Linked DNA regions of Xenopus tropicalis. The protein of the gene in region 2 interacts with the protein of the main gene of each other region in a pairwise test. Links are inferred from orthologs where the notes say so. Each region holds a gene or a part of one and is shown on either strand. Other genes may lie near its edges.

Evidence for each region.
Region 1: the proteins of usp2 (region 2) and lhx4 interact in binary tests that used the Homo sapiens proteins (3 or more experiments, as listed by UniProt). The two-hybrid records come from large-scale screens. The link is inferred for Xenopus tropicalis from reciprocal best matches to the Homo sapiens genes USP2 and LHX4.
Region 3: the proteins of usp2 (region 2) and vps52 interact in binary tests that used the Homo sapiens proteins (3 or more experiments, as listed by UniProt). The two-hybrid records come from large-scale screens. The link is inferred for Xenopus tropicalis from reciprocal best matches to the Homo sapiens genes USP2 and VPS52.
Region 4: the proteins of usp2 (region 2) and dtx3 interact in binary tests that used the Homo sapiens proteins (3 or more experiments, as listed by UniProt). The link is inferred for Xenopus tropicalis from reciprocal best matches to the Homo sapiens genes USP2 and DTX3.
Region 5: the proteins of usp2 (region 2) and ndel1 interact in binary tests that used the Homo sapiens proteins (3 or more experiments, as listed by UniProt). The two-hybrid records come from large-scale screens. The link is inferred for Xenopus tropicalis from reciprocal best matches to the Homo sapiens genes USP2 and NDEL1.

Annotation. Positions count from the first base shown.
Region 1 is NC_030680.2:101,064,292-101,069,525, reverse strand, and holds part of lhx4 (LIM/homeobox protein Lhx4), read left to right. Parts: intron 1-1,831; coding exon 1,832-2,000; intron 2,001-5,150; coding exon 5,151-5,234. UniProt on the Homo sapiens protein: May play a critical role in the development of respiratory control mechanisms and in the normal growth and maturation of the lung. Binds preferentially to methylated DNA.
Region 2 is NC_030683.2:80,119,508-80,124,792, forward strand, and holds part of usp2 (ubiquitin carboxyl-terminal hydrolase 2), read left to right. Parts: intron 1-2,065; coding exon 2,066-2,130; intron 2,131-4,022; coding exon 4,023-4,126; intron 4,127-4,860; coding exon 4,861-4,941; intron 4,942-5,285. UniProt on the Homo sapiens protein: Hydrolase that deubiquitinates polyubiquitinated target proteins such as MDM2, MDM4 and CCND1. Isoform 1 and isoform 4 possess both ubiquitin-specific peptidase and isopeptidase activities.
Region 3 is NC_030684.2:72,054,036-72,058,120, forward strand, and holds part of vps52 (vacuolar protein sorting-associated protein 52 homolog), read right to left. Parts: intron 3,903-4,085; coding exon 3,784-3,902; intron 3,189-3,783; coding exon 3,065-3,188; intron 1,858-3,064; coding exon 1,762-1,857; intron 1,252-1,761; coding exon 1,144-1,251; intron 887-1,143; coding exon 821-886; intron 735-820; coding exon 623-734; intron 537-622; coding exon 418-536; intron 337-417; coding exon 190-336; 3' UTR 1-189. UniProt on the Homo sapiens protein: Acts as a component of the GARP complex that is involved in retrograde transport from early and late endosomes to the trans-Golgi network (TGN).
Region 4 is NC_030678.2:140,818,659-140,823,943, reverse strand, and holds part of dtx3 (probable E3 ubiquitin-protein ligase DTX3), read right to left. Parts: intron 2,623-5,285; coding exon 1,868-2,622; intron 1-1,867. UniProt on the Homo sapiens protein: Regulator of Notch signaling, a signaling pathway involved in cell-cell communications that regulates a broad spectrum of cell-fate determinations.
Region 5 is NC_030686.2:49,762,207-49,766,465, forward strand, and holds part of ndel1 (nuclear distribution protein nudE-like 1), read right to left. Parts: intron 3,102-4,259; coding exon 2,935-3,101; intron 2,781-2,934; coding exon of another isoform or gene 2,746-2,780; intron 875-2,745; coding exon 793-874; 3' UTR 1-792. UniProt on the Homo sapiens protein: Required for organization of the cellular microtubule array and microtubule anchoring at the centrosome. May regulate microtubule organization at least in part by targeting the microtubule severing protein KATNA1 to the centrosome.

The DNA.
Region 1 (5,234 bases), on a different chromosome or scaffold from region 2:
AAAGTCTTCTTCATAGTCCAAGACTAATTGCCCTAGCATTAGGGCTGTAGTTAATAGAAAGAAAAGCCACAGTGTGTGATCGCCACATTAACACATAAATTATTTCTAGCTAGTCTGAAACCCTATGGTAGTTGTTTGATTGCTAGAAACTTCTGTTACCCAACAACTTGATGCACCATTGGTTAATGGTTAATGTGAATTGTGTCATTTCCATTACACATATGCCAACCCAGTTGTGCGACACTGGTGTAACAGCTACTCAAGGCACGTTTTAAGTCCATCAGTATAAAGTTGCATCCCTTAAACTTCATATTGTGGAGACCAAAATTCCTCAACATTTGTTTAAGCCATCATAACTCTTGACAAAGTTTGCTTAGTTGTGTTTTCATTCAGTCACAATTTATTGTGTCAGGAAATATCTGTTGGGCCACCGAAACATTGTAACCAACAAATCAGGGGTGTAACAACATAGCACCAGGTCTCCTTGAAAAACAATCTTCGGAAGGGAATGGGAATGCAAATTTTCAAGCAATAGAGTGGATATAGAGGCCTCACAGTCTGGCCCCCTTTCCTTTTACCGGGACCCCCCATGACAGCAGGGTCTGCTTTCTCTATAGTTAAAAGGGTGGTTTACCTTTAAGTTAACTGAATATAAATGGATGTTTTTTGTCCACACCTCATCGTGCCCACACACTGTTACACCTAGACCATGACGAGTTACAAGCAGACCACATTTTTTTTTCTGTCCCTATTGTCGGTATAAATGGGGGTGACATGTCTGAGACTAGCACAGAGGAAGAGCAAAAGATATCAGGTTAGCAGTATAACTTGGGCAAAGGTAGCATTGGTGACAGATAAACAAAGAATCTGGGTTCAATTTCTGACTATTATTATGGACTGCTGAGGCAGGATATATTCTACTCAGGGTCAAACTTTACAAATATCTATAGCAGAGGTTATTATATTATATTTTCTGCTATAACCCAGTTTCCTCTATCTTCAGTGATCACACCCACCTTGCTCTCTAAATAACACTGTAAGCTTCAGCCATCAGGCAATACAATAATAAATCATCTGTTTGCTCTTGATTTGACTTTAATCATTTATGGCACTTACTGTGGGGCTTTGATATTCTTTGCCATAGTGCAGCAAATTCTAACATTGATATTTCATTAATATATTTACCTGCTTTATACATCTCTAGACATATTGTAATAAATCCCTAACTGGGCAAAGGTGGAGAGGCACCCAGCTTTGTTTGTGCGAAAAGATGAAGAAAAGAGGAGCCTTTTTTGTTGTGTGCTAGAATGTTGAGTAGCATTATGAAGAGGAAGGAAAAGCTATTGAATACATGCAGTGAATGATTTTATTGGATGCATGGACTGCAGGCAGACACTAAGAGGGAATTTTAATGCTTAGAACTTACTGTGAATGCTTAATGAGAGCAGTGTGGGATTTCTTTGAGTAATGAAATTAAAGCATCTTTAGTTACACAACTAAACTGTATATCTGTTAATGGACTTAAATACTAAACTAATATTGAAGTACATTACCTGGTTTAAGGCCATTGCAAGCAATTGATAGTTTTATATCTGGATATAGGGGTAGTGGAGCATGGAGACATTAGAAAACTAATACAGAAATAACTTCATGAAGAAAATGCATAGGGAACATATAATATTTATCCAGTAAGAAGGTGTAAAGGCCCAGTGGATTCTTTGATCAGTGTCTGTACAACCAACCAAGAGCTGCTGCTATGGCTAAATTGATCCCGGTGACTATAACAGCTCATTCTTATTTTCCTCCAATCTCATCTTATTACTTATTTTAGGTTTGGTTTCAGAACCGACGAGCTAAGGAGAAACGCCTTAAGAAGGACGCAGGCCGGCAGCGTTGGGGTCAGTTCTATAAAAGTGTGAGGAAATCAAGGCTGGGGAAGTCAGGAAAAGAAAGCTCTACGGAGGACTGTGGTGTGAGTGACAGTGAACTGAGCTACAGAGGTAAAACATTTACTGAGAAAGTCATACTATAGTCTATAGTTATCTTTCTTATATTGCGGTAATGCAGCCACAGAAAAGATGATGATTGGAACACTTTAATTGGTGCCTTAAAACAGTACATAATGCTGTGCAAGTTGTGTAGCTTGTATTTTGCCTCCTCTGGTAAAGTACCGCTTGAGGTACATTCTCACCTTGACTCATTACTGCAACAGCACTGCCTGGACCCATAGCATTAGTGGAGCCCTCTGAATATAAAAATGGGAATAGAAGTGCAAAACACAGTTGTTCAGGAGCACCATCAAGACAACATTAGGGATAGTCCAGTCAGGTATCCTGTAAGACATTATATCTAATTCACAAATTCAAATGGAGGTGGGGCTTGCTTGGGAGTTGGTGTAGTTTGGGAGGATCACTGCATGTTCTGGGCATAATGGGGTGGGCTGGGATGGATTGGGAGCATGGCCAGGTGTGGAATTTTGTTGGCCTTTTTTATGGGAACCCCAGTTCTAATTAGTTGACAAGGTCCATCATCCAGTAGGCTCCAGCAGGTGCTGGACTAAGTAGCAGTAGTAAGTGGGTCCCATGAGAATTGATAATGACCTTGCTATTCTCAAAACATGCCTTGGGGATATTGTGTCTGTGGGCCTTCAACTGCTGAATGCAATATACAGAAGCTGGTGCTAGTTACATTGTTTTTTCCTATGGCATTGAAGTCCCCCAAGGCTCTAGCACTGCCCAGATCCCCATATTCCCCCACTTCTTCCCTGGCAATCATTCTTCTCTGTGCCCCTGGATATCTTCCTCCCAGGCGCCTGCTTTGCTTTTGGTTGAGTTCACAGCCTAGATTTTACATTGAGTAATGGGTTTGTCATATGAATGATTGGATATTATAATGAAGCCTCTATTTATCAGCGGGAGAGTTAACTCTAAAGAGCTTACGGGCAATTGGAGCTACAACATCCGCTTTTCAGCTGCAGTAAATACAGACACAGTATTCCCTCTAGTCCATTTGTCAAACACAGCCATGAACCAGGCAATTTATCAGGTATATAAGAATGCTGAAAGAGCGTTAATCATGTTTCTAGCTCGGCCATCAACTGCTTTATGACTTTATTGTAGTGAATATTTAGCATCTTATAATTCAGAGACCTTGCCTTTAATTTAACATAAAACATGCATTCACTGAACAGCACCAGTGTCACTTGAAATGTACAGACCCTAAAGAAGCTTTATGGTGGCCCTTAACTGAATTTTGGCAGCACTGAATTCCTGATAAATTAGCCCAGAGTTGCGCAGATAGTTGTATTTATTTATTAAGGCTCTCTAATGTGTTGGGGGGGTTTGGAACATCCTATGTTGCTTATGCTGTACAATATCTGTGCTTAGCTCTGACAGATGGAAACTCTGCCACCTTGTGCCTTTATATGGCCACAGAACCCCCCTTGGTGACTTTTAATATCCTTATAATATTCTGTCCCTTATATTGTCCATAATATATGAGCAAGCAGAAAGCAAAACTTAAAGGTGTAAAAGTGGCAAAGCCATCAACAGCTTTTTTAATTGCACCTCCCAGGGGTATTTTTATGTTAGGATTCCAATTCATGCTGCTTAGCTGGGGTCAAGTACAAGGTACTGTTTTATTACAAATAAAAACAGAACTCATTTTTAAAATGTAGCAGTAGTTGCTTAAAATTGACTCTGTGGGAGATGGCTTTCCCATAATTTGAAGCTTTCTGGACAATGGGTTTCCGGATAAATGATCCCATTCCTGTAAAAAAAGATAGATCTATGGTGTTCCTATAAAAACCAGTGTATTAGGTTGTATGTATATTTAGTTGTGCCCCATACATTCACTTACTGGTAAATGGTAGAATATATCAACCACTAACACTGTTTAACATGGACAATAATACTGCAACTTACAGACCATTGGGTACATTGGGTAGCATATGTTTCCTCTCCTTATTCCTATCTGGAACTGACATCACTTACCTACAGGTTTCTTTTGTTCAAGAAAGCCCCACAAGGTCTTAGCTCCCCCCTTTTTTATGTTCTACTTTGTGGTTGTTTTTGATTGCACTTTCTATTTTTACTGTTGCCTTTGTCGCTTTTTACTTTCACTATCAACTTGTGACCACTATCATTTTAACGATTGTAGGGTCCCCCCATTAGAACATATTAATTTGGAGGCAAGATAGAGAAATCTGCTTCGGTATTTAGACATTGTGGGCCTCTCAAAGTGGCAGCTGATATCTCAGTCCATCAGCATTACTTAACAGACTAATTTAAAAACAGTGTTTCTCATTACACTTGTACAATAACCTGTGTCTCCAGTTCGCACACCATTTAGCATATTACCATACAATTTGTACAAATATGCAAAGCTGATATATATAGGCACCCAAAGCCTGGGCCTAGTGCGGCAACTTCAGGGTGGTGACCCTCTGGTGCCTATATAGTAGAAAAATAAATAAATAAATGAATAAAACCCCGCCCCAGCGAGACCGCCAGATCAAACCTATTGAAATCCGGTGGCAGAGCTGGAGGGGGGGGGTTTGGGTGTCCTTGGTGAGCCTCAGCAGGAAGTGACGTCACCTCTGCATCCCAAGGGGCGCATTTAGGTCCAGTGCCTCCCTAGAATTTGTGGAAGTGGCATCCTCCATACAAAAATTATTTTTTGCAGTGCGAGAAACTCCTGAAACAATGTTGCAGCCCAGTTTGTGGCAGTATGACCCCTTTAATTGGATGGTCATGGTCAGTTAGTTAATAAATTTACTAGAGTATAATACACATGTGCATTTAATAACCTGTAAAATATATCACACATATATAACAGAGCTTAGTGATATCATGGTTAATTGGTGCTTAAGAATGCCACTTGTCAAATGACTTCTTGAAACTTACTAAAAAAAATAATGTACCCCTTGGAAACTTTGAGGATATGAGAATATTAGGAGTCACCACAGAGTTCCCTGACCTCAGCAAAAATACTTGACCTGTGGTCTTGTGCCTTTATATCGTCATAAAAACCCATCGTGAGTAATAGTCTTGTATTTTACCATGCAGTACAGTAGTATTTACTTTACATAGGAAGGAAATTTATCTATGAAAAATGTGTAAAAATGTTTGCTGTTTCCTTATTATTTGTAGATGAGCAGATATTGTCTGAACTTGGATCAAGTGGTGGTATTTACAGTTCTGGTGGAGATCTTGTGCCTTTGGTGAATGGAGGCT
Region 2 (5,285 bases):
ATTGATGTAAATCAGTGTTTAAGTCAAAGTGTTTCTGACTGCCTGGCTTGATTTTACAGTCGTCTTTTATATTTAAACTGAACACAAGCACTTTTGGTCTCTGCCTTATGACCTTGGTTTGTGCTACTGCCAATTGTATGGGGGAGGACAGGAATGGAATTTGTGGTTGATGTCTCCCTAGAGGAAGGAATACATCTGCATTTAATTAATCTGTAAACCACTGGGGATACTGGAAATTACAACAAAGTAGGCAAATTAGCAATTAATTGCCACAAAAACGCAGTGCTTGGGGCTTAGATTTAGCTTTCTGAACTTTAAACAGTCCAGCCAGGGTGAGATTTGCAGTAGATCCTACTATGTAGAACTCTATGTTTTCTTCTACTAAGATATCTGGATGCTCACTTCACAAGCCTAAATGTTGGATTTGTACAAGTTGGCTGCACATAAGTATTAGCAGATTCCACTGATAGAAACGTATCTACCTATGGAGATGGAACCCAGTTCAGTGGACACACATATTTTCTGGGTCCTATTTCAAAATAGGAAGCCACACTACAGGATAACTGACCAAATCTGCTGCAGGGGGGTGCACAAATACATGGTTGATCATACAGTTTTGTCAGAAAGTATAAATCTGCATTTCTTTTGCCAGCTTTAAAGTATATTAGCTCTCTGGCATTGAGGTTGCTTGAAACAAGCATATAAAATAATTAGCCTTTAGGCTTTAGTGAGATATATATTTGAAAAATCTTTTCTCGGTTTGACCTTGTCTACAAAAATCTCTGTCGTCTAGAGAACGTCCTTGGGAAATCAGCTTTACAAAACAGAGTTGAAACCTGGAGTCCTTCCAGACACAAGGTTTCATTACTGTCCTACCATAATAATTAAGTGAATCATTCTTCATTATGTAACTGTATTTACATGTTATTACAGTCTATAATCACATGTATTGTATGGCACTTCTTGTTGCTAAAACAAACATACCCATTTGTTTCACAACGTCAAAGGAGACCAAAACATTACAGCCCTCCTTTGCTCATACTCAGAAATTAGCATAGTTTGTTTTCTTCTAGTTTTATAATAAACTGTAACATTTAGATTAAAAGAAAGGAATTTTCACTTTCAATAGAACATGAACATTTTTGACAACAAGATGGTAGATTGTATGCCCCAGAGAAGACAGGATGGCCATATACCTGTATAGGCCCAGAGTGAGATATTGGGGGAAAAAAAGGTATAAACATATATTAGAAAAGTTTATCTCCTAATTCAATTCTAGATTTTCCCACAGGGCCAGATAGAATTCAATGAGAAAAATGTTTATCACATAAAAACTATGGGGAAAAACTGGACCTGACGTTTTTCACTTGGTAAACTATAAAATAACATTTTCTCATAAAATTGCAATACTGTCCAAGTTTCCATTATTTTAGCTCACATAGTCGAAACAACAATGGCTACAAAATTGCACACATGAGCAAACTTGTTAATGCTCTATAAATCTTATAAGGCTTACCCAACAATTTTACAACATTAAAAGGCTTACACAACATTAGCAATGGCTACTACTGAAGGTAAATGGTGGTGGTTAGTGTTCAGCTGTAACTGATGATCAGTAACTGATGATGTTGGCCTTCAAACATCAGCAGATAGAGCTATTTCTATGTTTTTTTCTTTAGGTTACATAAAGTGTTAACACACTACACAGGTACATAACTATGAGCAACTGAGTAGTCTTTACATTACAATTCCATGACAACATTACAAAGAATAATTGCTGTGCAACAGCATTCCTCTCTGTATAACTGTACTAATGAAAGTCTACCTGAAAAAGTATTTGTCTTGTGCTTTATCATGGCAAGAAATGGACAGATGGTGCCTCGATCATGCCAGATTGAATACCACCCTTTACATTCAAAAATCACTATAGTACTATGAATATTAACATTGTCATATTTACTGAAATGACCCTGATTTTAACCAGGGGAAATAGAAAAAGAGGCAAAGGAAGATTAAAATGTATATAATGAAGAAAACAAACAACATTTTTTTTTTCTTCTCTCAGTGACTCGGAGAAAGGCAAACATATGTGGAAGCGATATCTGGAGAGGGAGGACAGCAGAATTGTGGGTAAGTTGTACTGCTTTAGTGGGTTTTGATCTAAGGAAAAGTGTTGTAAAGAAAGATTTCATAAGATTTACATGATGTTAAAACTTACTATTACAATCCAAGTAACAAGAAAAAAAAATTGTGATTCATCTGACCTACAATCGCAAATGGCATCTTGCGCAAATTTGCTTACCGTCTTTGGCTGTGAATCTAGATTTGTGTATGATGTTTTTTTTATGTAAATGAGTGTGAAAGTACATTGTAGGGTTACGTTTGAGATATAATCATACGGTATAATTGGAACATTTGCTTAAGCAATTACTCCCATTTTTGAGGACTGGGGATTTTTAAAAGGGACCAGTCACCATAAGAAATTATTTCAAATCCTTTGAACTTAACTAACACTATTTACATTTTTCAAGTTTTTCCCTTTAATCTTGAAAAGTCAGGGGCCATTTTGTGAACACTGTTATTAAGGAAAGCTTTGTATCACTCCAAAATATTATGCATTTGCCATCTAGTTGATATCTAGGAAGTGCTGAATTGAAAGTTAAATTAATTGCAATCATAATTATATGCCTAAATGTATTTTTAAAAACATTAATAACAGGTAAAAAAAGAATTTGGGTTTTATGTTTCATTTTTAAAGGACTTCTATTATACAGCTTTATATATTAGGGTGACAGGTCATAGGGAGGTGGCACACGGGGTGATTAGTCGCCTGCGATAAATCTTCGCTACCATGGGCAACTAATCTCCCTGAAATGCCATCCCACCAGCAAGAATGTAAATCGCCAGAGGGAAGGCATACGCATTGCTTTGGTTTTCCGAAGTCATCTGAAGTTTCCTGTGACTTAGGAAAATCGAAGTGAAGCATATGCCATCCCACCAGCGACTAATCTTCCCATGTGTCACCTCCCTTATAAAAAACTGAAAAGTAGCAAAATGGCTTCAGTCCTCTAGACACTATCAAGGATAATCTTTTCCTGGATCTCTCATTAGAGCTAATTTCTACTTTTTAGGTGTAGTTGGATGATTTTTAATACAGGTATGGGATCCATTATCCGGAAATCCGTTATCCAGAAAGCTCAGAATTACAGGAAGACTCCACTGTAACTGAATAATTCACATTTTATAAAATCCTCACTGGAGGCAAAGTAACCCTGTTGGGTTTAATTCAGCGTTTTTCAACCACTGTTTAGTGTGCCGCGAGATGTTGCCTGGTGTGCCAAGGGCAGGGCACCAATGTACTAGGGGGGCACTGATGCTGGGCACCAATGTACTAGGGGGGCACTGCTCTTGGCACCAATGTACTAGGGGGGCACTGCTGCTGGGCACCAATGTACTAGGGGGGCACTGCTGCTGGGCACAGAGTTAAATTTTTTAACATTTTCTAATGGTGGTGTGCCTCGTGATTTTTTTCATGAAACAAGTGTGCCTTTGCCCAAAAAAGGTTGAAAAACGCTGGTTTAATTAATGTTAAAGTGATTTTTTAGCAGACACAGAGAAACACATTACAGAAAGATCCCTTATCCGGAAAACACCAAGTCCTGAGCATTCTGGATAATAGGTCCAATACCTGTACAAAATGTTGTCTTTTAGGAGCTACATACCCCACAGAAGATGCATTCTTGTCCTTACACCTATGCACATTAAAGGTAACATGCCAAAAGCATACTTTAGGGACCTTAATGATGGACATATACTGATTAAGAAATGTTGGTTATATTTTTAGGATAGCACCTTTTGTAGTAGCTTTGCAGATGAATGGTCTACCAATACATCCCTTTTGTAAAACAAATGATGGGGAGTGATGACAGCTCTTCTGTTTCCCATATGTCTTCTCTGTAACTAGCTAATCACTTCTTGTCTGTCAGCTTCTTATCTTTCTGAATTTGCTCTCCCAATTGCAGAACTGTTTGTTGGCCAGCTGAAGAGTTCCCTCACCTGCACAGAATGCGGATACTGTTCCACTGTATTTGACCCATTCTGGGACCTCTCACTTCCAATAGCTAAGGCAAGTTCCTCCCTCCAATGCCATTTTTATACACAAAAAAACTCTTTGTTTCCATGTAGGCAAGATTTTTATTTGCATTAAAACTTTGAGCAAAGTTTGTGACAAGCATTGCATTTGAATAGAGTTGTAAAGGTGTGGGAATTATCCTTTATTCCTACTTAACAATTGTGATAAATACTATAATGCGTATTGATGTAAAAAAAAGTGAAAAGATTGACTTTTTATAAGTTGTAGACTAATGAAGAGTCATATCTGGAAATGCCCCAAATCATCCCTGCCATCTGTCATTCAGTTTAATGGAAACTGACCATCATTGCTGGTACAGGTGGCTTCTGGCCTGTACTGGTCTTAGATCACACTAGAACTTGATCATTTTGATACTATCACCTGCCACTAATAGCATTTATGTAATTGATATTATTCAGATGTTTTACAAAGTTTGGCTCTAATCAAATTATTAATTACCTGCCTTTCCTAACACTGTATTAAAGTTTACACCCAATTTGTTGGCCATACCATTTTTATTAATATCTTCTTTATATGTATTTGATATTTACAACGTTAATCAATTCTGTCTCTAAGCACACAGTATCTTAGGCTTATAGAACAAACTATTGTGCATGTAAAAAAAAACAAAAGAGGCCCAGAGCCGAACATTTTTCTCCACAGCAGAACACCATTTGTATTTTAGATCTGAATTATTTATATAAATTGATTTTGTTCCCTTTCAACAGAAGAGTGCCTCTGAAGTATCCCTCGTAGATTGTATGCGTCTTTTTACTAAGGAAGATGTTTTAGATGGTGACGAAAAGCCAGTGAGTTTGCACTATGTTTCACTTTCTATTGAATAGCCAAGCTTTTGGTTATAACACACAGGCTCTTAAAGGAGAAGGAAAGGCTAATAAAGTGTTAATATCAAGCTGCAGGCATACCTTCAGTTCTCTCAATAGTGCCCTAAAGTCTCCCCATATTTCGCCTGTTCAGGTGATCAGAAGCCTCATAGGGAAAAATGCTGAGCTCTGTAAACAAAATTCCCATAATGCCATGCTCCTGCACCAAGACCAAGATCCCTGTAAAGGTGCAGTTTGTAAGACTATGAGAAAGCTTCCTGCTGTATAGCTTAGATCACAGATTCCTAAGGGAGGGGGAGGGAGTTGTT
Region 3 (4,085 bases), on a different chromosome or scaffold from region 2:
TAAACTCAAACATTTGGTGGAGCTACCTGTTTACCTGTTGGTACAGGTATCTTACTGACTTAGCAAGGCAAAAGCACTTGCTCTTTCATTGTTAAGAAATTTACATCACTTGATGCATCTCAGATTAGTGTTATATACACAGGTAACAGAATCAGTTTTATGATACTTCCTACTTCTACCTTCTTGGGTTCAGAAATTAGGCTTATGTTTTTTGAGCTCAACCATTAGGTGATGCAGGTTTATTAATTCTGAGCATACAGGCAGATTCCTGAGTGGCGGCTGGGAGAGTATCTTATGGAAGCGGTGATAATACTGGATCAGCTGTGTTAATGCACCCTGTAAAAATGGAGAGAGTTAGAATAAAAGGAAGAACCCAAATAAAGGTCTCTCTTAAATAGCCCTTCCTAATTCCCTTACTTGTATAATGCTAGTTCCATTCTTAAAGTTGGTAAATGACCTCATAACATCCTGACTCAGATTCTCCACTGCTTGTTTCCATGTTGATGAGAACCCCCGTACAAGCTGAGCAACACGTGCTACAAGAAATTCAGACCGTTACTTTATGCAGTGAGTGACAATAAAAACAAATAGTAAGACTTGTTAAAATACAAACATCCTGTACCCTCTTCACTTCTGAGTCGTTCCTGCTGTCCCTTCTCAATTAGAGATTCTGACTCCTTGACAAATGCAATCATTCCTCCAAATGATGGAGCGAGTATCTCTTCAATAAACTCCTGGCATTTTAAACAGTACAAGGACAAAATCAATATGAAATACATGGTGTAGAAGGTAATAATACAAACACAAAGGGGCTACAAACCTGTGTTCGAGCAGTCAGCAGCTGTTGAAAACTTTCCACTTCTTTGCTGTCAGAAGATGCTCGTTCCTAGAGATGGCAGTGAAAAAAACTGTAAATGATCTGAACTATAGCTCTGCTTGTTTGTATGTCGGATTAATATCTCCCAATAGACATTACAGACTAGTGTGAGGTTCACTGTGTATAGTTATTAATTTATTACATGTGAAACCAACTTGAATTGGATGAGTCAGATTTCATAGGAAATGAACACATTGCTAGTGTTAAACCTTGTCTTATGTGAAATGCCACAAACATCTAATGTGTTGCAAACTAGTGGGACTCACCATAAGGACACTGAGCATCATATCATAGTTGTTTATTAAGAAAATTAGCTGTTCTTTTCTTGATGAGAACTCTGCTGCCATTCTAAGGACAAAATTCTCCACTTCTACCTAAAAGAAAGTCAAAAAGAAAAACTACCAATAGGCAACCTCCAGGGCTTTTTCATGTAGAATCTAATATTTCTCTAGCAAGTCACATTTAGAGCACTATATCCCCCACATACTCAAAATCTGGAGCTTTGTCACTGCCCATAAGAAGCTTCTTAGTTAACTGATGTTACCTATTCATAGAGTACAAAAAATATGACGTTTTCACATAACCCAAAATATAACTAGTACAGATATAGGATTTGTTATGAGGAAACCCGTTATCCAGAAAGCTCTGAGTTACAGTAGACCTTTTTACTAAAATACTTAACATTTTAAAAAACGATTTCCTTTTTCTTAGTAATAATAAAACAGTACCTTGTACTTGATCCTAGCTAAGATATAATTAATCCTTATAAGAGGTAAAACAATCCTACTGGGTTTTACTTTATATCTTAAAAAAGTGTAGGATGGCTGAATCCCACATCACACTTTATAATCCTTCTCCAAATTCTCTTCATATAAGGTTAGTACCTGTAACTGTCCAAGCAGGGCATTTGTCTTCTCATTTGGAAATGTCTGGTTTATGCTAACGATGGCTGAGGAAAACTCTGCATAACGACGGGTTATCTAAAAGGAAAAAAAAACAATTTTCATAGCTTATTTTTTAGACACATATGTAATGTTGTATAATTCTCTGTAATTAATTAGGTTTTGTACCTAAAATGTGGCACCAGCGGGTTTATCTGTGAGCTGTGCAGTATAAAGTGGTTTAGAGGTCAAGCTTGCAAGTGACCAAGTACATGGACAACCCTCTAATGGACTGTGAAACTGACCTTCCCACTTGCTCTTTAACTCACTACTACAGATTATAACGTTTACAAGCTGGCAGTAAAGGGTAAGATTGACACAGACTGTAAATTTTTTCATCTGGGTCGTGAGTGGAACTTTAAAATCCATGTTTTTCAAAAACGCAAATACATTTTTTTATATTTTATTTTGAAATTTCAGATGGGGCTAGCCATATTCTTCATTTCCCAGGGTGCCACAGCCATATGACCTGTGTTCTGATAAACTTCAGTCACACTTTACTGCTTAGCTGCAAGTTGGAGTGATCTCACTTCCCTCCCAGCCGCCGATCAGCAGAACAATGGGAAGGAAACAATATAGCAGCTCCCAGTAGATATCAGAATAGCACTCAATAGTAAGAAATCCAAGTCCGGCTTGGGACTCCTCCAGTTACATGGGAGTAGGAGAAACAATAAGTTATCTTAAAGCAGTTCTATGTAGCGCTGGCTCTTTCTGAAAGCTCAGACTCAGGCACAATTCACTGAGATGGCTGCCTACACACCAACATTACAGCTAAAAAAATACATTTGTTGGTTCAAGAATAAAATTTGAATGGTAGAATGAATTATCTGCTATGTAAACAGTGTCATTTATAAATAAAAAGTATTCCAAAAAAATCATGATAGAATCCTTTTAATGCTTTTTATGTTTTGGGCTTCCGTAGCAGCCCAAGGCAACCACGGCTGAGATTAGGGACCAACCCACTATATACAGTATCTATATACAAAACACAAATTTGATGATACAAGGCTGATCAGTAATACATTAGAACCACTTTACATGGCAGCACATAAACTACAGCATTCTGCATTAAAATGATTAGTAATCAGCCCAGTATTGCATCAGCTTCTACAACAGATTTTACACCACTTTCTGCTAATATTTTCTGACAACCCCTAAACTTCTGCATAGTATGATGTATTTGTGTTACTACACCCAGTAAATTTATCAAGACTTTTCCTGAGATAGGCAGATGTTTACTGCTTACATAGTGCGGCCTTGTATCAACAGTGCCCAGCCTTTGTGGATCTGTGTTTCGAATACTTTGAATGTTTAATTCTAGGATAAGCTGAAACCTGGGCCACAGCATGTCCAGAAGGGCATCCCAGTATCTGCAGAATATTAATGAAGACAATATATAAAAATAGTGTCCTATTATAGCACATATATACACTATTAAAAAGTATCAAGACTGTCTTCTTAACATACACAGAAATATAATCCAGCATCAGCATAAACATAATCTCTATGTATAGAAGAGCTAGAATCTCTTAGCATAATTGTGCCACCATGACTATAACTTAATTACAATCCAATAGAATTTAGATTATCCAATGCCTGTCCAACAGGCAAACATATATTAAATGCTAGCAGCATGTCAGAGAACCACTAGGCCTCACCCCCACCCCTTACCCAGTCGAGTTACTAACTCCAGGGTAGTTGGTTGTAATTAAAATTTCTCTGTACACATGCAAGGGACACAGATATGGATCTCTAAAAAAAGTCAAGTAGTCTGTAGACTGAGCTAAACTATTGAGGTGTTGTAGATTGCATCATGGCCCTCTAGCCAGCAGTGGTGTTTACAAGCTAAGCATTGACTGAGGAACAACAAACAGAGGCAGTATTATCTGTGTGACTGCCTTTCCCAGCTTCTTTCTGTTCATATGTTGTCCCTGTTCTGTATGCTTTAAAATATTAATTTCTTACTTGTCCACAGCAGGGATGTCTCTTCTCTGAGCGATTCCTTTGAATCTCAGTACAATGTGAATGCAGAGGAAGATAGCAATGCTGTCATAGCAGTCCGATACATAGGAATCAATATGTTTCTGGGGGACAGACACATATAAGATGTGAAAAGCAACAGAACATAAAGTTCATTGTTTATATTACATATAGTTTTTGTTTTGTTTTGAATGTTGACAATATTGACTACTGGGGGCTTTTTCAAAATATTAGAATAAAGGGAAAGGAAATGTGTGCCCCACATATTACAGAACTCATACTCTTGG
Region 4 (5,285 bases), on a different chromosome or scaffold from region 2:
AGTTTTTTTTAACATCAGCATTCCAGCTAAAAGCAATTTCATGCTTGTGACTTTGTTTTCTGAAGATCTTGTCATTGATATAAATCTTTCTGGTACTGCCTGTGGTTGGGGGAATTCCCAGCTGTAAAGTAAATCAGGCCTAATACATTTTCCAGAACGTATGCTTTGTAAGTGAAGGGCAAGTAGGTAACAAATCTAAAAGAAACCTTCATTTTAAAAAAAAATCAGATGATTGTGGCTGGAATTCTGACACAAGCCTGTATAATTTTTTCTTACGGAATTAAAATGAACATTTTCAGCTTTGCCTCCATTTCATTGTTGAGAAGATTTGATGAATCGTGAAACCTTTAAACAATTACCACACTTATTCAAATCAGAACAGGTGTAGGCTGATAAGCAAAATGACAGTGCCTTTAGATGTTCTAAAACATTTTGCCTTTGTATTCAGCACTGGCCGCTCTCCTTAAAGTAATTTAATGCCTTTTTTGCTGTATATCTACTGTGTGAGTGGAGCCGGACTGTCCCTGCAGGCAGCTATTTCACACTAATCTTTTTCTTCGATTGCCTGAGTAGCAGACCGCAGGAACATCAGCCAATATACAGTGGTGTTGCAAAACAATGGTTCATACGCTGGCAATGAAGCACAACAAGATTTCTGACATACTAAATCCAGCACGGCCAGCAAAGACCCTGACATCCATTCTCATCTCTGCCGCAGACAAGTACAGGGGTATGTACGACATTCTGTGATTCAGTGAGACAAAGTCCCCCGTGTGTATTCCCTGATTACTTATTTGAAAATATGCTTGTTAGAGGTCAGCTTTGTTACTGCCACACCAAATTATCTCTAATGCTGTTGATTGATGGTTGATGAGCTGGTTTCCTTATTAGATGTCCCAGTGAGTTTAGTAAAGACCCTCAACATGATATACACAGATACAAACTCTAAATAATTAATTTCTCATGTTGCTGATTTATTCGTTAACATTTTCCAACTGCCTAGTGCTGCAATAAACATGTCTCATTTTATACTAGAAATACATGTAAGAACTGATGATATATATACTTTTGAGCAAGTAGGTTGATCAGTTTTACTTTGCAGTACAATGTGAGATGTCCTCTCAGGCTGATGAAAAATGCCTGTCCTATCATTTGGCATATCTATTTGGTTGGGAATGCTACAAACGTGTTCTATTATGAGCAACTGATATGCTACACTGGTGTACATACCAGAAGGGCAGGAGGTGTGTGTACATTCTAGGTAGGGGAGCAGGTGTAAGTTCTGCACCTAGGCCTGTGGTCACGTAGATACACAACAATATTCTAAGGTGCCTGCAAACAGCTGCTTGAATTAGTATTCTGTATTAATGGCAGCAATCAAAAGGCAATACGTGAAGACAGGACCACAGATTACCTAATGTTTTCTACATACTGAATGCATAACCCCTAGCTTTTGTGTTTGAATAGCTTGGGGATGTCCATAGGCCATCACAGATCTCTCATAAATATAGCACTGAAAACTGCAGACAGTACTGTATTCATGGAAAAGGTACAGAACTTTGCATCTTATACTGGAGCACAAAAGCCTGCAGGCTGCAACCCGCAGGTTAGTGTACCAGGCGCAAAAAGGTTTTGCCATAAGTGCTTTTATCTACAGAATTTATATTTAATATTGTCTTGTCTATAGAAAGCATAACTTAAATTCTAAATGTAACCCATTTCAGTAAAGTAGATTTAATTATTTAATATTTAAATAGATACATGGATTAATATACAGTTATGTAAAAATAGATGTAAAGTAGAAAGTAGTCTAATAATGATTTTTGTTGTAATAGTTGGTGGTACTACAATATATACCATATCTTACCCCTTGAATGCCTGGTGGGAAGACATACTGGATAATAATGGTCCCATATTTCTCATAACCAGGCAACAGCAGACCGGAGTCCTTGGATACCAACATTCTACCATTTTCTGGCTGGTTACCCACCAATTGCCCATAGAAACGGCCACACATTGGACATGCCTTCTTCACCTGCAGTGCCCGGGTAATACAATCCTCACAGAACGAGTGTTGGCACTTCTCCAGTGTCTTTATGTTCTGAATCTCACCCAGACAAATGGGACATTGGTTCTCTCGATCGTCCTCTGGGTCTTCCCTTCTATGATCTCGAGAGCTGCTATGACTGCTGCTAGCCCCCCCTCCTGCACACCCAGGAAGTCCTTTGCCACCAGTGCTCTGTGCCCCCCTGGAATATGTTCCTCGAAGGTGCAGCTCTGTTGCATGTTCACTATTCTTATCACCATAAGCCATACATCCAGTCAACTGGTGCTGTTTATATGATTTCTTCAACTCCTTCTCAGTCTCCTTAAGAAGGGATTTCAGTGCCTTTCTGGCTAAATAAAGCGCATTTGCTGGAACATGACTTTCAGGGGATAGTCGTAGAACATAGATTTCAGATGTTTCACCATCAATCAGTATCCTCACTCTGTTTTCTTCCCAAAGTCTTGTAAGTTTGGAAGGGGTCTCCTTGTTAAGAAAGTCCCATACGGTCTTATTAACTGTGACTTTATTCTTTATGTTTCCTCCACAGGCTGCCATTCTGGACAAGACAAAGGAAACTGAAAAAAGAGAGAGAATGTTAGAAGCAAATAAGAAAAAAATAACATATAAAAAAGAATGTGTCACTTACTGTACTGAGTAGTAGGAAAACAGCCTTTGGCATTCTCAAGGTGAGAAAATGCTGTCAAGTGCAGAAAGTCTTTGCACATTACTGAGCAGTATTACAAGATATACTCTTTATAATATAGATATTCATCTATATCTTATCGAGATGATGTAGCAATATATAGGTACAAACAGTATATAAGCATTTAGAAAAAAATGTGTAGCCATGTAAAGGCCTAATATATTTAATAACACATTAGTTCAATAGTAACATAAATCAAATGTATTTATTTCTAACACTTGGGTATCCAACCAATCCAAGGCTAGCAGGACTAGACAGCAAAGTCAGTATTGTGGCATCACTAATTTATTAGCTCTTTATAGAGCTGCGCCCAATCAGAAGGCTCGCGTTAGTCTGTAGACCCACAGGTTAACTACTAAAAAATCAACTGTTCTCTTTATTTATAGCCAAAACTATTATTTATTCCCATTATTATATGAGATGGTGTACCACCTGCAGAAAATTCTAAAGGATGGGGCAATTCACCTTGGAGTTACCTGACCTATATATCATGTACAGTATGTATTTTTCTTTTCAATTATTTTTATTTGCATTTTAACTTTTACAAAGCAGATATTAAATTAAAACAATTGTATAATGAACAGTAGATATCCTAATAAAAAAGGAAAGGAGGAAAGAGAAAAGAAGAAGTCGTTCTTATTTCAAGTGGGCAGTAGGGCCAAGCAAATGGAGAAACAAAGTGGACAATTATGAGGATAACTTGAAAGTTTATACCATACTGAAGTCAAAACTGTGTTAGACTTATGATCTGATATATAAGACGTTAATAATATTTCCATTAAACTTGTACGTTACTTGTTGGCTTTTATTTCAAAAGGTTGATCTAAAGTGAAAAGTAGATGAAATCCCTACATTCGGAAAAGAGTAGGTGTACCAGGGTCTCTGTATTTTCATGACTTCCTCATGCTTGTCTATATGTATGCTGGTCAGTTTATCATTGAACATAATCCAAATTAGTTTTTTCTTTGAAATGAAAAATGGGAATGTGGGTTTATTTCCAGAATTATGAAATTGTTATTTTGGCTGCCAAGAGAATAAAATTATCAATAACCTAGTGTAATTATTAACATTGGGTATCTTAATATTCAATAAAGCATTCTGTGCATCTTTCTTTAAGTTTATTTTTTTGTGTTATATTATAAATTCTAGACCAAAATCTTTTGGCATTTGAGCAGTCCCACCAGATATGCATCACAGAGCCGGTTTGGCTACAGCATCTAAATATGAAATATAAGGTTTCTAATAATGAAATGTTTCTTGAGCAACCATGGATTTCCATATTTGGGACCAGTTTTCTTCTGTAATGATGGTATTAAGATCTTTGTTCCATGCTATATGATAAAGGATCTTTTGAGTATGTATCAAGAGGCAATCAATAAAGGTTAGAGATTAAGAACCTCAAGTGTGGGTATACAGTGTATATATTTATTAACCTCCTTTCAAAGATTGCCCTGTGCCTTTCTAGGATCCCCAGGTATGTCAGTGTTACATGTACTGTGGCAAGCAGCATCCTTAATATAAGTAACATTTAAAGGGGAACTCTGACTTCCAAACCAAAATTTGTAAAAGAGCCCCACACAACACCAAACCCCTAATTTACATACCACTGTAATCTGTTCCTTCAAATATATACAATTTATAATAATAATATAAATACAATTTTTATATGTTGAAATCTATCTGAAAAACAGTTCTTCTCTTTGGCAGGGGAGAAGGGACTAAAAACTTGATGTTACAAATTGTAACACCTTCTCCACAGCTTACAGACAGCATGCAGTAACTACTTAACCCACAATGCATTGCACTCTGATGTTACTTTACTTATTGATGCTGAGGACAGTCAACTGCCATTATTGTTTTTATTTTTTGAGTCTTTTTTGAGTCAAGCAAGAGAACAGGGGGCCAGGCTTTGATAACTGTTTCAACGATATTATTACATTAAAACTCATGAAAGGCTTCTTTTTTAACTTGTTGTATATTGCACAGTTGCTTGAAATTATATTTACTTTTCAAAAAGCTTAAGTTGTGTTTGGGTGGAGTTCTCCTTTAAGCTACAGTACAAACAAGGATGCATGGAAGGATTAGCAAACACAGTATGACACACCAAGTACTTTGTTAAGTAAATTAAAAAAGCATCATGGAATTGTTTTTCTAAACAAAGAGTTTGGAAGCATGTTTACTTGTCTTTTATTTATATTCTAAGGTCTCATGTATGAATGTAATGCATTTACTGTATAGGTGTTAAACCATTAGCAGAAATGCTGGATTTCTATTCTATCTAGATTTTTATTTATCTCACCAAAAGAAACGTTCACTTATAAATGAAGCATATTACCAGTCAATTACTCTAAGTATAAATCTAATTTAAAAGCAATATATATTAGATGGCAATAGCTTCTTGCCTGTGGCCATCTTAAACCATAGCTAAGAACCACTGACATTCATACCCATATTGCCTCCTAGCTATCTCCTCCTGCATGAACTAACACTACCTCAAATTCAACATAGCTAAAACAGAGCTCCCACCCAAATCCA
Region 5 (4,259 bases), on a different chromosome or scaffold from region 2:
AACCGTCAATATCACAACTTCAACATGGAGAACGGGGGGCGGGGCAGAAACGTATGTACATATATATATATATTAGCTAACGAGGGGTTAAAAGTAAGTGTGCTTTAAAAGTAATGTGCAGGAAGGAACCAATGAGCCGGGGGGGGGGGCTGAGAATGGATCAGACTGGTACAGACACAGGGCAAAGGGGGCGGGATCTACGTGTGTTTGTGAGTGGGGGGCGGGGCACATGAAGACAGGGGCAAATAGATACACAAATATATAGATATATATAGAGCTGGAAAGACCACAATGGTACCGAGCGACCCAGCGGGTCCGATTAAAGCCCTATTTGTAACACAGCAAAATAGATTCCGACAACACTGTTGAACTATAAACAAGCGCCGACGTGAGTAACCCTGTAACGTAGAGGGGATGATTCTGATCTGGGGAGCCCCCAGGACCCCCCAAAAAGTAGTACTTGGCAGGTCTCGTCTCCACCTGCTGCGTCAGGTCAGGCAATTCATTGGGGGGGGGGGGGGGTGTGCGTGGAGTCAATGCTCACGTTACCATGGTAGCGCCGGCGGCTCGACCCCCCCGGGCGGAAGCGGAGGACGAGGTCCTTACAGAGCACCCGAGAGGCAGCAGAAGGGTTAATGCAGCGCAGCCCCCCACATTCCACTCACTGAGAGGGGGGGTTAACCCCTTGTCTGCCGGGGTGAGCGGAGGCAGCAAAAGTGGTTGAAACCGTAGCAAGTTTTTGTTCTCTCGCCCAAAAAAAAAAATAAAAATAAAATAAAGTTTCCGTCCGTCTCATACGCTAAGCGGAAGCATTCCCGGGGGGGACGGGGGCCGCGATCCCAGAACTCCTGGGGGGTCGTAACCGTTTACTGCCCTGAAATAGAAAGAAGAAGAATAAATGAACAGTTATTGGGGGGGGGGGGTACTGAAAGGAGCTACACAAGGATATTTTAGGGTTCACCCCCCTATTTCCCACAGTTGTACAGTAAGGATCCAGTCTCTATGGGGGGGATGTATATTCATACTAACAGAGCTCATACAGAAATAGTATATAAATGGCTGCTCCCTGGGGGGCCATTTATACTGCGCAGGGGGGGCACTACTAACAGGGTTATTGGGGGGGGGGACATGCTCTGTTAGGATGAACACACAGAGAGAGGGACCTAGCACCCCAAAGCACAATCAGTAAAGGCTCAATAGACCCCCCCCCCCATATCCCTCGTCCCAAGCAGAAACACCCAGCGGCCCCCCACTGTAACAAATCAGCCATAGGAATTGTACATGGCCTATGGGGGGGCAACAAGGGTGTTAGGCCTGTCCATGTAACTCCATTCTGAGCATTACATGGTTAATACAGAGCAGTCGCTATGCCCGGGGGGGGGCACGTATCATTGGAAGGAATGAGCCCCACAGCAAGCGTTCCCTTCAGATCCGCGCTGGCTTCTAAGGCTGAATCAGTCATTAAGTTCCCGGCAGAACCAGACACGGGTCCCTGTTGGATCAAGTCCTTACAGGCTGGGCGGGAACTTATTTATAGGCACCTCGGCGTTGCTTAAAGGGGAAGTTCACCTTTAAATTAACCTTTTATATGAGGTAGATATTCTGAGACAATTTGCAATTGGTCCTTTTTTATGGTTATTTAGCTTTTTGTTCAGCAGCTCTCCAATTGGTATTTTAGCAGGTATCTGGTTGCTAGGGGCTTATTTACCTTAGCAACCAGGCAGCGGTTTAAAGATGGACGTTGCCCCCTGCAGCCAGTCACTGGCAATAGTGGAAGAAAGTAACAACGTGGGCCCCCCCCCCCCAACTGTGTGTAATGAACCCCCAGTGTTTATTGACTCAGGTGTTGCCCAAACATACAGGGCAAGGGGCACAACATGGGCACTGCTTATTTACTAAGATTCTAAATCTCAGTAATAAAAGGGTAATTCCACCGAGCTCTGTGGGGCAGGGTGGCCATTTTAACAGGGATAAAATACCCCGGGGCAGTTATAAAGGTCTCTATGCAAAGCTACCCCGTGCTTTTACCTTACCCCCACCCAACACACAGCACAGTATTAACTACTCCTTTTGTGCTGAGGAGGTGAGAAGGCAGGGTCCAGTTCTGCAATGCAAAGCAGCTACTGATATCTAAACAGCAGCCGGGGGGGGGGCAGTTATTATGGGGGCCACTTAATGTCGCGCCAAGGCCGTGGCGGCTAAACAGCCAATTAATTTGGTACTGTTGTTTTAAAACAATCAGGCCCTAAATAGTGATAAGGCAATTTTGTTGGCAGGCGTGGATTTCCAGTTTGGAAATTCAGCGGCTATCTGGTTGCTAGGGTCCAATTTAACCTAGCAACCAGGCAGTGATTTAAAAGAGAGGGGAGGAGCCCAAATAAAAAAATAAGGAATAAAAAGTAACAAAAACAATAAAGCTGCAGCCTCACAGAGCAATAGACAATTTAAAAACCATACAAAATAAAAAAAATGAAGACCAATAGCAAAGTTGCTAAGAACAGGCCATTCTATAACATACTAGAAGTTAATCTAAAGGTGAACCGCCCCTTAAAGGGTTACTAGCACGTTGCCCAAGGCCAACTTAAACCAAACCGTCCAACTCTCCTTCCTACCCCATACAGACGGCAGAGAGCGCTGGTTACAGAGCTGCCCCCATGCGATTAGTCAAGAAATCTCAAGTTATGAAGGGTTAATTCTATCACCCAGAGACACCAGCATGCAGCTTATTGGCTACGGTTTCATTACCCATAAACAACGTGGGGAAAATGACCTTCTCCTGCCTAGTAAAGGGGAAGAAAACACAGATTATTTCAGCCTGCAGGGCTCTGGCCAATGGGCATGTACAATGGTTAAGCGTGGCCTTTATTGTTCTGGATACAGATTAATTGGGGGGTTCTAGGTTTGTACGGCGCTGCTGCTCATGTCGGAACCTACCCCTTGTCGAAGAATGACGTGTGCCCCGCGTGGGAGTATTTTACCCCGCTGCTGTTTAATGCGCTGCTGCCGCCACCGCTGCTGTTCAAGCCGACAGGTGCGTAGGATTTCCGAGACGCCTGGTCCTTGGCAAAGTTCCTACATGCCGCTAATTTAGATTCCAAGGCCTGGGGGGGGAAGAGAAAGCAAAAGTTACTTCCCAGTATGCAGCGTCCTGGGGGGAAGGGGGGGGGGTCTGAGTGGGGGGGGGGGGGCTAGGAGTTAAAGTGGTTGTTAAAGGGACAGACTTGTTCAGTGCTGGGAAACTGTGCTTATTGCTCCCAACTCCAATTGCAGGAACAGAGAACAGGGAGCCGGATTTACTCACATCAGCTGGGATTCTCATTGGGGGAAAGTTTTACAGGTCCTTTTCAAAAAATTAGCATATTGTGATAAAGTTCATTATTTTCTGTAATGTACTGATAAACATTAGACTTTCATATATTTTAGATTCATTACACACAACTGAAGTAGTTCAAGCCTTTTCTTGTTTTAATATTGATGATTGTGGCATACAGCTCATGAAAACCCAAAATTCCTATCTCAAAAAATTAGCATATTTCATCCGCCCAATAAAAGAAAAGTGTTTTTAATACAAAAAAAGTCAACCTTCAAATAATTATGTTCAGTTATGCACTCAATACTTGGTCGGGAATCCTTTTGCAGAAATGACTGCTTCAATGTGGCGTGGCATGGAGGCAATCAGCCTGTGGCACTGCTCAGGTGTTATGGAGGCCCAGGATGCTTCAATAGCGGCCTTAAGCTCATCCAGAGTGTTGGCTCTTGTGTCTCTCAACTTTCTCTTCACAATATCCCACAGATTCTCTATGGGGTTCAGGTCAGGAGAGTTGGCAGGCCAATTGAGCACAGTAATACCATGGTCAGTAAACCATTTACCAGTGGTTTTGGCACTGTGAGCAGGTGCCAGGTCATGCTGAAAAATGAAATCTTCATCTCCATAAAGCTTTTCAGCAGATGGAAGCATGAAGTGCTCCAAAATCTCCTGATAGCTAGCTGCATTGACCCTGCCCTTGATAAAACACAGTGGCCCAACACCAGCAGCTGACATGGCACCCCAGACCATCACTGACTGTGGGTACTTGACACTGGACTTCAGGCATTTTGGCATTTCCCTCTCCCCAGTCTTCCTCCAGACTCTGGCTCCTTGATTTCCGAATGACATACCTTGGACCACTGAGCAACAGTCCAGTGCTGCTTCTCTGTAGCCCAGGTCAGGCACTTCTGCCGCTGTTTCTGGTTCAAAAGTGGCTTGACCTGGGGAATGC